Linked DNA regions of Drosophila melanogaster. The protein of the gene in region 3 interacts with the protein of the main gene of each other region in a pairwise test. Each region holds a gene or a part of one and is shown on either strand. Other genes may lie near its edges. The genes, in order: ATPsynCF6L, Eglp4, Tsp74F and CG10918.

Region 1 (2,773 bases), about 13 Mb from region 3:
TAGCTCTGTGTAGTAGTCGGAATGAAGATTGAGATACATGCGCTCGGCACCAGACAAAAAAGACCTGATATATGCCACCAGCAGGCAATAACCGTTTCACGTCTTCTTGTTTTCGCCAATGAACGCTTAAACTATTGGTGCACCGAACAAAAATACTAATAGAAATAGGATCGCAAGTATGTTGATAAAACAAGTTTCAATATTTTAAACACAGATAAAAAACCTCTTAATATTTATAGTTCAACTCAGTTTTTTTGACAAAAACTTATATTAGTATTTGTATTAGAAACTTGATCGATTCAAAACACGTAGGACGACAGCCAACCCTCTTCATTGGAATGTCAGATGCGTGGGAAGTTTGTTATTGCTGCCAATTAGGTTGCCATTCTGTTTGTGCCAATGTTTGCATATTATTTCTGCCCAATTTGCATTGATGCAATATTGTCCATGTCCCGCGCAGCGCTCCCCCCTCCCCCCCCCACACCTCGTTCCACTACATGGCGGCGTCAAATGCAGAAAATGTCAAAATTTAAATATTGAAAGTGACGTTGGCGTACAAAAACCCCTCGTGTTGCGGGCGTTGCACTAAGCGGATAAGCGCTTGTTAAATTTTTAATGCGTTGCATAATTTTTAGTTCGGTGTGGATATTTTGCACACAATATGTACGTACTATATGTTCGTATATTTTAATTCGAGTGGCGGATGCGAAACGCAGCATGAGTGCTGGCTGCATTTGAAATGAGCCGCATGTGGCGATGGCCGATTAAGCCCGGTTTAGAAGCTACACATTCCTCATTTCGCACTCGACAATGATCCATTTATTTGCACTGTCAGCGATGGTGCGGGAGGGGAAAAAAGGTGAATGGAAATTTATATTAATTATAATTTTCACAGCCATGTCTTCCCATCAATTATCAGAGTTTGTCCGACGGCTCAGTTCTCTTTTCAGCTCTTTTCTGCTCTGTGCATTTAAATTTTTCCCCTGCAAAGTCCTTGATAAACATTTTTCAATTAATTTTTATTTGCTGCCGCCGACATTTCTTTGTCCACACACGCGCATATATTTATGTATCTTGCTGCGTGCACATAAGCAACAGCAACAGCAAGTTGACGGCAGCAACATCATCGCCTTTATGTGTTTCACGTATTTCTTTAACGGATTTCCACTTGTCTCACTTTTTGAGAAAAACTTGTCGAGATGGCACTCGCATTGTCAAGCCCACTCACACACAGACATTCGCAGATACGACGAGTCAGACAGAGAGAAAATCTTACACGCTCGGGAATAAAGGAGAACGGGCAGCAACGGTGCGTAAAAATTCGTCCTGGAGCAGGGAAGCACTTCAGATGCGTTAGCCCAAAATGCGGGGTTTGATAAACGCAAAAAATACTCAAAATAAAAGATATAAAACGTTTAAAAATATAAATTCAAATCTTAAAAAAAGATGGCTTACCTGTTCTGAAGACAATGATTTTATTTTAATTTTGAAATCAAATTACCCTTGAGTAAGATATCTCAGAATCATATTTTATCGCATAGAAACAGTATCGTGTCAGCAGAGAACAAAACTAACAAAAAAATGTTTAGCCGTTTCCTAAAACCAAGCCTAGTTTTATGTAGGAGTGTGAGCAATACCGCATCCCTTCGCTACAAGGATCCCATTTATCAGATTTTCCTGGACAAGGTGCGCGAGTATCGGCTGAAGAGTCCCAAGGGAAAGCCCGTAGATCCTGGTCCGGAATTCGAGGCGGAGCTGAAGGAAGTCACTGAGCGCCTGGCTCTGCAATACGGCGGCGGCGAGGGCGTGGATATGCTCGAGTTTCCGAAATTCAAGTTGCCCGATATTGATATTGATCCCATTTCGGTTGATGATCTGTAAGTTACAGTTAAATTGGAAAAAGTTTTTATAAAAATATAAATATTTACTTAGACCAGAGAACCAACCAAAGCCTGAGAAAAAGAATAGAGATAAAGAAGTAAAGGCCAAAGAAAAGGGTGGGGAAAAAGAAGTGAAAGCCAAAGATGGCAAGAAAGCTGACGAACCAAAGGGCAAGGATGAAAAGGACAAGATAAAGTAGATCATCACTAAAAATAATCGTTTTAAATGTTGTTAAAATTTTCGCACAATTCTTAATACTTTAAAAATTATAAAATGTTTATGTTAAAAGAAAATGAATTTAAATGCCTGCAGATTCGAGCTACCCGTTTGTAGCTGTTCCAGGATAGAGCCGAAAAAAGAACGCACCGAAATTTTTATTAAGCACATACATGCATAAGCAGCACTCACACACACCATGCTTTTACCATGTTAAGTAATTCCTTAAACAACACAACAGGTCGCCGCCATTCGCATGGCCTTGTCCCTCCCCTTGGTCCTTCGTCCTTTGGCGCTCCCGCACGCCCCATCCCACCCACTTCCATTTTTTCCGTGTAACTGACGCTGAGTGGCAGACACACAGATACTCACACAAGCAAATTGAATTTAATGCTTTCTGCTGTTGCTCTTGATAAAACGATGGCAAGCGAGAGGAGGCAGCGTGTAAAGGACGAGCGTGGGAGCGAGAAAAACAAATCAAGAGACGTCGCGAAGGAAATACAAGCCAAACGCACAAATAAATACGCACAAGTACATAAATTTAAATTATTTTCGTGGCCTGGCCTCGCTTTCATTTATGCTTTTTTATTTTATTATGCCGCTCCGCTACAGTCGGCCTCAAGGATCCAAAGATCCAAGGATCCGGCATTTGACTACGGTCCAGACGTCCTGGCAC
Region 2 (3,742 bases), on a different chromosome or scaffold from region 3:
TGTCTCTTGCCAAAACGTGTCGCTCTCTTTTGACCAACCAACTGTCAATGAGTTGGCCAAACACAAACATTTGCCGTTGGCCAAGGGCCAAAACGCAAATGAACCAGCAGTGCTATTTTCTCCACCGTTTTCTGTGGCAATGCCAATGTGTGTTATGGCGAGAAAGCAATGGAAAACATTAGGCGTGGTCAGTGAGGGTCAAAAGTTCTGATCACCTGAGCCACTGTGTGTACTGGGTGTGTGTGCAACAGCAGGGCTTTTGAAAATATTTGCTTTAAATTGTTATTATTTATTGACGATCCAATTGTTATTGAGACACATAACTACGCAAATTGCGTGCAATTTGATCGACAGGCGTGCCGAGATTTGCCGTGATTTGTTTGCCACATTGCGTGGTAGCCCGATTCACGCAACGCATCCTCAATTGCAGCAATTGCAATTGATAGGAATCGAAGCGACGGTGGTAATTGATAGTGTGCCACTCTGCTGTTATCAATACGCAATATGCCGCCTGCTTCAATTGCGAGCGCGTCACGCACTTGCACAGCATAACAGTGTTATGCCCACCGCCCACCGACCAACTACACTGAAAATAATTATGGGGATTTTCGCTATCAATTACAGTTTAGTGCTAAGTTTGAATGACACGCAATGAAAATGTCGTATTTTAGGAACTATGGTTACTACTAATTCTAGCAATCATTGCTTAGCAGATTTGCCTTTCTCATGGCAAACAAATAGTAAGAAACAAGTTAAATGAAAATGATAATTTACTTAAAAAACAAATGTAAGGACCACCTTTAATATTATAATTCTCATAAAATGCTGTGAATAAGTCGAATGAATTCGATAGAGCAAAACCAGTATGTCAGTTGCACACCAAGTGTTAATATCTAACCTTGTTTCCATGGAATATCATCCGTATTGTTTCTACCATTTTATAATGATTTAAGCCAGGTGACTGGTAAAGGAAGAGTGGGAGCGAGAAGGAGCATCGCTCCAGAGATAATCGCAAAAGCGAACGAGAGCAGCGAATGAGCGTTTAAGATGCTCATAAATTCTGGACACTTGACTTTTTTATGCTCACCAGTAGGATTCGCTAATTTCCACGCCTTTGTGTGTGTGTGTGTGTGTGTGTGCTTGTGGTCGGTCCCCTTCATATGTGTGTGTGTGTATCTGTGTGTGTTGCTGCTCTCTCACAGGGGCTAAAAATGGGCTTTTGATTTACGCAATATTATATAGACACAGATATAAATATTTGCCTATGGCTACTCCACCGCCTCAGATTGACATTGACAGTCGCGCTGCCGCTTTGTGAATTTTCACCAGCTACGGAAAAGATTGATTATATAGTGCGATCTCAAAGAATTGGACAAGTGTCAAAATGAGCCACGAGATTCGGTAATTATCTGGCACTCGAAACCAAAGAAATTCAAAAAACAAAAAACAAGAGTTCTGGCTACCAGAAAGAGGGATTTACCAATCACAATAAACGGATTAATTCGCAACGTAGTGAACTCCAATTGACTCGAGTGGCGCTCAGGCGATAAGGTTGAAAAAGATTGGTTATTGTTTTATGGCCATGTCGTGATTTGATTCGCATTTTTTCGGCCATTTATCTATAAACCCAATTGACAGCCGAACGGCAATCACAAGTCTACTATATTTAGTACACGGCTACTTCATGTCAGTCCAGCCATCGATGGCATTCCCGCAGCAGGCATCGTTTGTCGGATCAGCAGCATAAGTTGTGCTTCCAAAAAAGGGTGTTTGGAAAATCGATGCCAAGTCAATGAACCTCGAGCAGCAGGGGATGGATCCGCAAGGGGTGGAAAACCAGCAGGAAATCGTCCAGGCAGCCGAAGGAGAACAGCAGTTGCAAAGGTCTAGAAGCTTGACAAACTAACTACAAAGTTGCACAATAGTTGAGATTGTAGAAGTGTGTCGCGGGGATTAGGTGCAAATCGAGGAGGGCTTTGCGAAACGATAGGATGGTCTTAGATAGGATATGATTGATGAAGTTCCTAAGCAGGTCTACTTAGAGTCGAGAAAGAGATGGACGATGGCGTGCGACAGAGAGGGTAGCTCGCTTTTTAGTGTGGCATTATTCAAGCGCTTCTCTGACCATTTCAGTTGCTGTAAGGTCTTCAAAATGAAGGGATCGACGCTGGACAAAATCTCCGCCTTCCTCGGCGAGCTCATCGGCACCGGCATCCTGGTCTTCCTGGGCTGCATGGGTTGCGTGAAGACGGACCTCTTTCCCAACAACCATCTGCAGATTGTGCTGAACTTCGGCTTCGCCGTCCTCATCGCCATCCAGTGCTTTGGCTGCGTCTCCGGTGCCCATCTGAATCCCGCCGTGACCGTGGCCGCCTACATCTACGAGATGGTCACCCTGCGCATGGCATTTGCCTACTTCGCCGCCCAGATGCTGGGCGCCTTCATCGGCTACGGCCTGCTCATGGTCCTGCTTCCCTCGCCCACACTTACGGTGGGCGCTGGGCTCTGCGTGACCTTGCCCCACACCAGCGTAACCACGGGCCAGGCCCTCGGCATCGAGTTCGTAATCACCTCCATCCTGGTCATCGTCTGCTGCGGAGTGTGGGATCCGCGCAACTCCAAGTTCCATGACTCCGTGGGCATTCGATTTGGCCTGGCCATCGCCTGTCTCGCCTGCGCTGCCGTAAGTTAAAGCGAACAGTTGGCTAATCCTTACCTGCCTCGAAACGGATTATTAACCTCGTTCCCTACCATTGGTTTTAGGGTCCCTTCACCGGCGGCAGCATGAACCCGGCCAGGTCGTTCGCCCCCGCCCTGTGGAACAAGCACTTCGAGAGCAACTGGATCTACTGGCTGGCCCCGCTGAGCTCCTCCGCCATCACCGCCTACGCCTACAAGGTCGTCTTCCGCCGCGAGGTGGTTGAGGCGGAGATCACCTCCAATGAGAAGCTGCGGCAACTGGAGGACGTCCAGCTGTCGTAAGGCCAAAGACATTGCTGTAGGAAAAGCCCTAACTAATTTAGTTAATATCTAAGATGCCGAATTTTAAAATAATGCATTCGTTGTACGCTAATGTTAGCAGTGTCTTCACAAAGTGGCTCGAACGTTTCAAAAGGCGAACCAAGTGCACACACTTACATAAGCCCTTGAAACGATAAACGTCTTGGTGAAAACACTAATTGCCTTCAGAAATAAAGAACATCGAGATTTTTAATCTAAAACCAAAACAAAACAAGTAAATTATTTTTATGGTTTTAAGAAATTCTACACAAGATATTGGTAGTTATTTGATACCTGAAGTTCTGCTCTTCTGGGCCATCTTAAAACATGTTGAGTCCATATTATCTAAAAGCTTTTCATTCTTCAATAACGAGGTATTTGCTTTGATTAGCTCTAAGTAACTTCCGGGCTTAAAAATACCAATAAGCTTTTTCCAGGAATCGAAAGTGAAAAAAGCCCATCAGCTTAAGCGGTCTTTGGAAAATCTGTTCATAAGATATTCGAATATCTTAGTACCTCCAAATCGACCAATCAAATGGTGGCTAAAAAACGTTATCAGCAGGCTGCGAATGAGACGCGCGTATCAGCCAAATAAAGCCAAAATATACCAACAATATGCAGTTATTGTACGTTACGTACTCCATTCGGGTCTATAGTCCGTATACGAAGCACAAATGATATATGTGGTTCTATGTGGTTTAAAGGGGACTATGTGCTATGGGTGATATGCTAATGCTGGATT
Region 3 (6,472 bases):
GAATAATACGGATACGCAATCAGGTTCCGGCACCTTCTCCATCAATTTATGGCTTGCGATGGGTAGTATTATAGGCTTAGTATACAGAAATCTGTTGTAGCTGTAAGTTCTTAGTAGAATAATTTTTAATAAAAGTTAATTAAAGAAAATACTTTTTTATTCAAATCTTTAAAGTCGCTTGAGTGCGAACTTATTTTCAGTTAAATAACATAAAAGTTGTTATATTATCTGATGATAATTCACTTTGTAAACACCTTCAGGTCACAGCGTGATCCATACTTTCCCTATTTTCCCGCTTCAAAAATGTGACTTAAGACAAAAAAAACCTAAAAATATGCAACAATATTGCATGTAGATTAAAGCTTCGATCAAAAACAGTTTAATACTTTAAACCGTTTTTTAAATACAAATTTTTACGTAACATGGACATATTTCATGGACCAGATCATTTTAAATATTTATCCTTTTTCGTTTTTTTTTTATACTCATATCACAACATATCGTTTAATGATAATTGGATTAAAAATAAAAAATATTAATATATATAAACATTTCCGAAGTATTTGGTTTTAACTAATTTTTATTGAAAACAACAATGGACAGACATCTAAATTCTCTATTAAGTATTGAAAAGCTCACTTAAAACTAGCAATTGTAATGGGTTGTTGATAACGGTGGCTTAAGAGGAAATTTACAAAACTTCACACAAATAATACAAATTTATGCAACAGATAATAACAATAGAATCCCTACTAAGTTCAATACTCACTAGTTATGCGTATCTAAACACGTATATACATACAATACAATACATAATACAAGCGGACAGTTGATCTGTGCAGATCTAACATTAGCATACACTCAGATAATACTCTTAATTTAACTCCAGCGAATTATGTTTAAAAATGTGTTTCTTCTGGACTGTGGACCTTGGTATCTGATTTTCCTGCGTGACCATGGGATTCCCCTCCTCGTTGGCGCTATTCGATCATATTGAATAGTAGACAGGAGAATATCATGCCAAAGATCTAAAAATAAACCAAATTCCAATTAATTATATATTATATAATAATTTTGCTACCGAAGAAAGGCGTTCACTTACCATCAGTATGGCCACCGCTATGGATGTACCTCCAATAACCGCCGCGTGATCCCTGATGAAGTTGGTCGTCACATAGAGGCATCCCTGGTTGTACAGATTCGTAATGGTCGGGAAGATTGTGCACTCCTTACGCTGTCCACCGAAAAGCTCCTGGCAACAGGACTCAGGCACTGGTCCGTACCTATTCCAGTCGTGCCACGTATCCACTCCGCAGCACTGTAGTCGCTCCTGGGTCAAATCCCAGGCCTGGGTGATCTCCCTCCTGCTTCCGTATAGTGCCATCGTGGAACGCATTTCCTATGGGATATTGGTAAGGGTTAATGTGCCACCCACGTGTTGTTATCGATGGATTTGCCTCACCTGCCGCATGGTCTGCTGAACTCGTTCGCGGAACACGTAACCCAAGACACCGCCAATTAGCATGGTCACGAAAACTAGGGCCACTATTATGAAATACTGCAAAGGGAAAACGAGTGGTTAATTTTTTAGCTAAATGGTGTTTGCATAATAGTAAAGAAGAGACTGACAACATTTAGAAGATTAAATCAAATAGATCATTTCTTTAGATGGTATCTTTGTAAATATGCAAATCCAGATATGATTACTCCAAAAAGGACAAAGTTAATTATTTAATAAAATGAAATTTTTGTTTTTATTGTTTGTTGTTTACTTACTGTTAGGAGGAGGCATTTGACTTCTTTTCCGGCACCAACACAACCCAAAAAGGACACCAGACAAATGATAATCGATGTAACCAGCAGGACGTAGACAGCACCCGAGAAAAGATTTGTACCGAGCAACTCATTGACGAAACTCCGATCCACCAGAGTCCACAGGGTGAGACAAAACACAATCGCTCCACCCACCTGGAAAATACATATATTTTGGTATTATTTATTTCTCTTAAATTGTTTTTTAATTCAAGCGACTCCTGGATACTCACGAATATCACAAAGTTGGCTATGAAAAGACTGTACTTGACGAACTGCCCGCAGCAGTCCATTCGCGAACTGAAGCCCATATCGTCTTCCTTTGAAAGGATAATACATTTCAATTAACCAATTCAATGGGATAAAAAGATTTCACATTGTTTACTTTTGTCTACAGGTGAAGAGCCCCCAGAGGATATTGATGCGAGGAGAATTATGCAGGGAATTTGGGGTAGGATGAGATGCAGAGGTTCTTGATGGCGATACAACTCTATAATCCAAAGACAGATAAAAATAATTTCACACTATGCTTTAATTAAGTTAAAGTTCTTAGAGATCATTCAATTTCAACAGGTCCTTAGCGATAACCAAGTTAATCATAACTCATCATCCCGATTTCAAATTAGCTATTTTTGGCCTACTCTCTATTGCAATGTGATGTAATCTCAAGAATGTACTTTTTAACGAGTTTCTTTCGCGTAAGATTCACTCCAACATATGGGCTGCCTATCAATGGTGTTCGGCTTGGCGAGTGGTGCGCATGCGCATGCGCATGCGCAGCTGTGGTTTCGGCCGAACGTTTCGCTCTTTCTAAGCCGGGTCCGAACCGCGAAGCGACCGAAGTACACTTAACCATGACCCACTTTATGGAACTGCGACTGAGCAGCGAAGCTGCCAACGCTATGTGCCTAGACAAGCGTTCATTATCGGCGGTGGCTGCCAACGTCTTGTGGATTTTGTCAGTTACGGCTCTAAAGACTCGCGTTTTTTTTTTTTTTTTTGGTTACTTACATCGCATTAGGCCCACTTGAAGGGTTCGCTGCGCGGCGATTCCGAGACGAATTCCCCCCGTTGAAGTTGGAGCGATCAAAACAAATAAATCAAAGTAATAGCCTGCCCGAAAATTTGTCAGCTAATTGTAGTGGTTTAACTACGAGTGCCGTCCCAGCTCTGAATCATCTTGGCGCAGTGCGATGTTCTAAATGCTAATTAAAAGTAATTGCAGGCTGAGCAGTCGGGTACCCCTTCACCCCACTAGCTGGTAAACGACATCTCATTTCGAGCATTATTCTCCAAATTCAAATATGTTAAGCCGCAGTCGAGTTCGCCAGGTAATTGGCGGGGCTATTAAAAAAATGTTCTCACACTATCTGAATATTCACTATATTTCATTCGACGTTATCATGTTAAGCGAATCCGAATCGTGCCTGAGATGACAGTAAGTCATCCGAAAGTCGCCATTAATGATGACGGGGCGTTGGCGGCGGGGCGAATCACTATATCTGCCGCTTGTAAGCTGAGACCAATTAAGTTTATGGTAATTGTTCAGCTGTACGTGCTACACATGGTAATAGATCACTTAAAGCTCGGATTCCAAGTCCTGTCACTCATGAAAAACTTAGAAAATCAGACTTTTTAAGTACTATCTACTAAACTCTGAGCTCACTCTTTTATGCTCCTTTCATACCCTGTTATCTATCTGTAATCATAGGAATAATAGCTTTACTAGGTCATTTATGTTTAAAACTCGTATGTAATCTTTATTTGTAGGTGATGTTAGCTTAAAAGTTAGTGAGCAGAATCGGTCGAGGCTATAAATATGAAATATGTACTCCTTGTTTATACTCGAAGCTTGAAAATATAGCAGTGAAAATAGGAAAGTGGTCGCATTTGAAGGACCTCTGTATGAAATTTATGATTAATTAAAACAAATGAAATATTATCTAATAAGCAAATTCACTTACAAGTTTGCCGTCCCGTAGCACAAACGAAGTTTTCGTTAGGTAACCAATTTTGGCGGTTTTCTTTCTCAGCTTTGTGTATGTAAATTGCCTTCAATTTGTTGTTTTGCAAAAACACAAAGCAAAACAAAAGAAACGGCTACTATTTTTAGTTGCACTTGAATGCACAGAAACTTTGGGAGTGGCTATAAAAAAAGAAGGAAATTATTTTAACCCTTTCAATTAACATTTTTGTGGTAAGAAGTAGAAGAGTTTTTAATTTCACTTTTATTTATAAACAACTTTTTGATGAAGACGCATTCATTCATTTTTTCGGTCGATTTTATTAACTTGTTTAAATTTTTGGTTCATTCTTCATTCAGATCACTTCATTCAGATCAAAAGAGATCGCAAAGTTTACATACGCATATAGCAATTTATGCAATATTCGTTAATATTTGCTCTCGAATTTTTATGAAACTTTTTTAATACAGGTTTCTTGCATTTGTTTTAAGCGTCACTCGCAGTTGATAATTGTTATTGAGTTTTTATTCGATTGCTGTTGCTGTTATTGTCAATTGCAGTTCTCCCATGGCAAACAACTTTTTTTTTGCCGCCTTGCTTTTAACATTTGCTTTTCAAGTTACGTCACGCTTGCCAAGGCAGCATTATCCTTAGCGGAGTTATCACTGTACTGTCGGGATATTTCGTGGGGATAAAACTATACGATTCACTTGATGGACCTAAGTCTCGCCTTACAGGGATTGAGTGGATCCGGGGAGCTATGATACTATGGTTTTATATGTGGGACAGGGACGACTCTACCGCCCGAGAGCTCGCTTGGAACTGGTTGTGGGAACAGTCGGGGCGATCGGTTTTTTATTAGTTTCGCTCACAAAGAGCTTCGTTGTTGGGCTTTTTCTGGTCTCGGTCTCTCGACATTACAACAACTTCGACTTGAGCCCCTGTTTTCGAAGGCTTAGCACTGCAGGTGCGAGAGAGATGGGAGTCTCTACTCGCTTACAAACCGCAAATACTTCTCTGAATGTTTTCGTGCTTCTCTCTTATTTATTCATCTATTTTTCGGCTTCTTTTACCCACACTTCCCTTTGCGGAGTCGGCATGTGAAAATGCGTTGAGCAAACAAAATATGATCCGTCGTCCACAGCCAGCACCTTTGTTTCATTTCGGGCAATTGCAAAATATAAATATTGATAAGCAAACGAAATTTGATATTTGTTTTAGTTCTCGGTCTGCACATGGCAATGTCCGCATAATTGATTTTGGAGGCAAATCTATCCGAATTGGTTACCGTTTTGTTATAACAGTTTAAGTTTAAATACTTTTTGAACAAGGATTATTTGTAATGATTGTTTTCTTTCTTCAGTTGGATCATTTGCATCTATTTGCAACCATATTTATATTCAATATACGAGTGTTGATCAGACAACTTGATAAAGCCAAGTTTGTCAGTCCGTTCCTTTCTTACGCATTCTAGAATCATAGTTTTAAAGCTTGGAACTTTTCTAAAAATCTTCTTTTTATTGCTCGTAGTATGTGAATTTGTCTTCTGTATCATGTATGTATAAATATCGAAATTTAATTGAAAATATTAGAAAAGAAATCAAACATTGGCGAGGCTATCTTTCTTTCTTGATTTCAAGGGCTTAGTGTTCCAAGAGAGCACAAGGAAAATATGCTTATTATCCGTGTTTCATGTTACTTTTGCTGGTCGAACTCAATTGCTGTGCCGAAGGACAACCTTTGGCAATTAACAGCTTAATTTTCTTGTTAGTCGAACAAATAGTTTTGGCTGAGTTGAGTAATTTTTTAAGCAGTTTCCAAGCTAAGGTCAGAAAGTTGGCTGCCGATAGACGAATAGCTCACCCTCCCTACTTACACTCCACAGCACGGTTGAAAAGCGCTCAAATTGTTGGCTTGTTTAGCACTTTTATGGCCGTGTTAACAACAACCACCCGCCATGTCCCCGTAATCACCGACCAATGTGTTAGTTGCATGGCGAAAATAAAAATAAATCATAAAAAAAAGAAAAACAATTACTCTGCCTGTTGATTTTGCATCTTATAAACTCGCTGTGGGAACCTTTTGCGTTTTATAGATGCCATAAAATCCATTTCCACACACTCGTCCCACAGGCGCCTCATGATAAAATATTGCTCAGAAATCGAAGTTTGCGACTAGTGCTCAGTTATTCTTGCTCAAGTGGCCAAGAATCATTAATATTATGGGGAATTCTTAATTTTAAGCCAGTCAATTTCGCCTATGAACCTATACTTACTGAGATCCGATTAGTGTGAGCGAGTTGAAAGCCTCGTTGAGCTCGGCGAAGGTGACAAGCGTCAGAAGCGTTAAATTGTGGCACTTTAACTGATTGGAATGAGTCAAAAATTGGGAAGGCAAGCAAATGACTACTGGTAGTGGAAGATATAATTAAAATGTTAACCGAACTGCGCATACAACCGAGTTAACACAGCAACATGCATCATACATTATCAGATGCAAACTAAAGTGAAACATTGAAAAAACAACAAATGCAACATTTTTGATTCTCACATGACTTATCATAGCTGCTATAACTCTACTTACGCCTTCGCCACTTACTGATCTTCGTATAAAAGCTATCTCAATCAATCAAAAATTTGCATATTGCATTAATAAATTAATGAATCTATGGGAATGTGTAGTGCTCGTGAATAATG
Region 4 (3,031 bases), on a different chromosome or scaffold from region 3:
TTGGTCAATTTATTGGATTTGGACATTCCGCACTCTCAGCCCTCTTCTATATGGCGTCCGGATTTTCGGTCCCTACTCCTACTAGGTTCCCCGCACGTTTGTGCCCGTGCCCCCGTTCGTTGCACCACCCCTTTGGACTCGAAATGGTGCAGCATATGTCATGTGGTGTTCTCAGCGGTGTCGGGTGTTTCCTATTATGTCCAATTCTCGCTTAGCCTACCACTTATTGAAAATTCAATTTGCCCTAATAGAGCTATTCGGCAGGCAGCTGCCAAAATTAAATTATCAAAATAACTAGCCTTCATGCTGTTTACTTTATGATAACAAATGATGATATTTCATTAATCAGATGATTGATTTGCCTGTCGATATCGAAGAAATAACAGAAACGATAATTCTCTTAAGAGACAGCTTTCAATCTCATATGCTAATCGAGATATTTTTTGGTGCGAATCAAAGGTCTTAATACGAACGGACATTGCTGAATAGATTCGGCTAGTCTGTAAGACTAATATGACTGTATATGACTAATATATTCCAAGTTAATGAAATTAAGTTTCAATGTGCCAATTAGATTTTATTTTCATACATTTCCCAGAAAGTTTTCAATACGCTGCAATTGAGACTCAGAATCTATCCCGAACCAGTAGTGCTCTCCGTGGAGCTGCTATCAGTGGAGCTATCGGTGGAGCTATCGGTAGAGCTATCGGTGGAGCTATCGGTGGAGCTATCGGTGGAGCTATCAGTGGAGCTGGCAGAGGAGCTGCTGTCGGTGGAGCTGGAGGAGCTGCTAGTTGTGCTGCTGGTGTCGGCCAAGGAACTCTCCGTTGTCGTCCACCAAGGTCTTGGGCGACGAGGACGTGGACGTGGGCCCCAACCGCCAGGACCGCCGAATCCACCATTGAAGCTTCCGGGACCGCCAAAGCGGCCGGGACCTCCGAATCCTCCACCACCGCCAAGTCCTCCAGGCCCTCCAAAGCGACCAGGTCCGCCGAAGCCACCGGGGCCACCAGTACCACCAGGACCACCGCGACCGCCGAAGCCACCGCCTCCACGTCCTCCGAATCCTCCAAGACTTCGGCCACCGCCTCCGCCGCCACCGCGTCCACCACGTCTTCCGCCTCCCCCTTGGGCCACGACAACTGCCACCAGGGCCAGCAGGGTAATTGCAATGTAGGCACGCATTGTGGGACTTTTGCTCCAATAGCAACTGATTTGAGTTATGTACGTGTAGCCCCTTTTATACCCAAAAATTCGGTGTCGAATTCATCCATCAGCCTTTTTGCTAAGAATCCCCCGTGACGGCAGCATTGGCTGTGTGCTTAGCTGGATACTCCGAAGAATGGAAAATAGAGCGAAGAACTCCCTGAAGAGCTGAGCTCGAATTCTTCGCATCTAATAATCCGTGTGTTTCTCTTGTTTCATTCGTCGTGTGGCAACAGCTGGTCGATGTTTGAATTAGTTCCATTGTTCTATTCTTCTATTTTAATACAACCGTTTGAGTTTAAAAAAAAGTGCTGTGTCAGAGAGGGAAGTTTACAGAAATTTACGCAGTATCCTCACAATGAAACAAAAAACAATCATAACGTTAGCCAAATACTAAGACGAATTGTAAATTTGCTTAGAAGAAAATGAATGTCTATTTGAAGGTTTATAACCCTACTGCAAATTTTTGTTTATTTACTTTGTTTATTTGTTGTCAACAACTGGGTTACTTATTCTAATAGCACTCGTTTAAAAGTTCTCTTAAAATCTATGACTCAGTCGGAAAAATTATATTTTTTGTTCATTTTTTCATTTACATATTTATACCTGTTACTTGCTGAGTAAAGGGGTATACTAGAGTCGTAGAAGCGTATGCAACGGGTATCTGTTAGTCGGTTTACTCGACTATAGCATTGTTTTATACTCCAGCATCGAAAGTTGAATTTTCTCATGCTTTATTAAAAGTTAGGAACTATGTAAATTCATTAGTTTTTAAGGCCTTTCAATTGGTAACACTTATTCGCAGAAATAAGTCAATTGATTTGTAAATACACATGCTTAGCCTTCATTTGCGCCATTTATTTATGTCTAAAATCTATCTATATCAACTGCCAAGTAATAAACATATATTTCTTATATTAATAAAAAAATATGTATAGAAGATCGAACATCTTAGAGTGAATGTGGATTAAGTTCCTGAAAAGTAAAGCTCTGAACAGCTTTTCTGACTTTCCCAATTCGAGAGTTGCGGATGTCGAGGAAGAGAAATCTTTAACATTAGTGCTAATACATGGCAAACGACCTCGAGGAGCCACTTAATTTTCTGATTAGAATCAATCAGGGCGTCGAGTGAAATGTGCGGCTGAGACAAGGACACCTAGTTGGGCGGCGGGAGTGGGTGGCGTTTAAGAATCGCGAATATAGAATGGCGTTTCCCGCTTTCCGCACATATGGGGATTTTTAAATTGAAATTTCGAGGACCGGAAGGTGGGTGACTTCGTTTGGAGTAAAATGAAAATGAAATGACAAAGAAAAAGAAAAAGAAATTTGCGGCTTAGATAAAAAAAAAAAAAATATAAATGAAAATTAATTTTTGCGTCAAAAGTAAGTACATATGTGTGTGTGTGGCTGAAGAAACTGACGCCACATATTCACGACCGTGTCAATATAATTTTCGGATACAATCTTTTGGGTTTTCAGAGAAGCTGGTGGTTCTAGGTATTCTTCGCTGTCCCTCTTCTGCTTTCCCCTACGGCTTTCCTTCATTTTCCCGTACTTTTCCCCTTTTTCCGCCTTTTTTTCTGCGTTCTCCCAATTCCTCTTGCTTTTGCGCTTGCCCAATTGTCGTCGTTTGAACTTTTGCCCCTTTTGGAAATTTCATTAACTTTGATGCGGGAAGGTAAAACAGTTACAGGGGGGGTTTTTTAAGAGGTCTTAAAGGGGGTTTTTTTATGTGGGCAGACAGAGGGATAGTGCAGAACTGCAGAACCTTAACAATTACCACTTCACATGACACACAAACTCGCCAACTCACACAACTTTAAAG

Evidence for each region.
Region 1: the proteins of Tsp74F (region 3) and ATPsynCF6L interact in a two-hybrid assay, tested with the Drosophila melanogaster proteins (one large-scale study listed by BioGRID).
Region 2: the proteins of Tsp74F (region 3) and Eglp4 interact in a two-hybrid assay, tested with the Drosophila melanogaster proteins (one large-scale study listed by BioGRID).
Region 4: the proteins of Tsp74F (region 3) and CG10918 interact in a two-hybrid assay, tested with the Drosophila melanogaster proteins (one large-scale study listed by BioGRID).

Annotation. Positions count from the first base shown.
Region 1 is NT_037436.4:5,010,904-5,013,676, reverse strand, and holds ATPsynCF6L (ATP synthase, coupling factor 6-like), read left to right. Parts: upstream 1-1,543; 5' UTR 1,544-1,581; coding exon 1,582-1,877; intron 1,878-1,932; coding exon 1,933-2,080; 3' UTR 2,081-2,233; downstream 2,234-2,773.
Region 2 is NT_033778.4:23,607,073-23,610,814, reverse strand, and holds Eglp4 (entomoglyceroporin 4), read left to right. Parts: upstream 1-1,884; 5' UTR 1,885-2,008; coding exon 2,009-2,683; intron 2,684-2,763; coding exon 2,764-2,982; 3' UTR 2,983-3,223; downstream 3,224-3,742.
Region 3 is NT_037436.4:17,891,255-17,897,726, forward strand, and holds Tsp74F (tetraspanin 74F), read right to left. Parts: upstream 4,609-6,472; 5' UTR 4,512-4,608; intron 3,959-4,511; 5' UTR 3,777-3,958; intron 2,303-3,776; exon of another isoform or gene 2,198-2,302; intron 2,133-2,197; 5' UTR 2,124-2,132; coding exon 2,046-2,123; intron 1,969-2,045; coding exon 1,777-1,968; intron 1,559-1,776; coding exon 1,463-1,558; intron 1,400-1,462; coding exon 1,103-1,399; intron 1,029-1,102; coding exon 981-1,028; 3' UTR 566-980; downstream 1-565. Other genes in the region: CG7402 (uncharacterized protein), read left to right, coding at 1-100.
Region 4 is NC_004354.4:21,428,059-21,431,089, forward strand, and holds CG10918 (uncharacterized protein), read right to left. Parts: upstream 1,199-3,031; 5' UTR 1,186-1,198; coding exon 634-1,185; 3' UTR 556-633; downstream 1-555.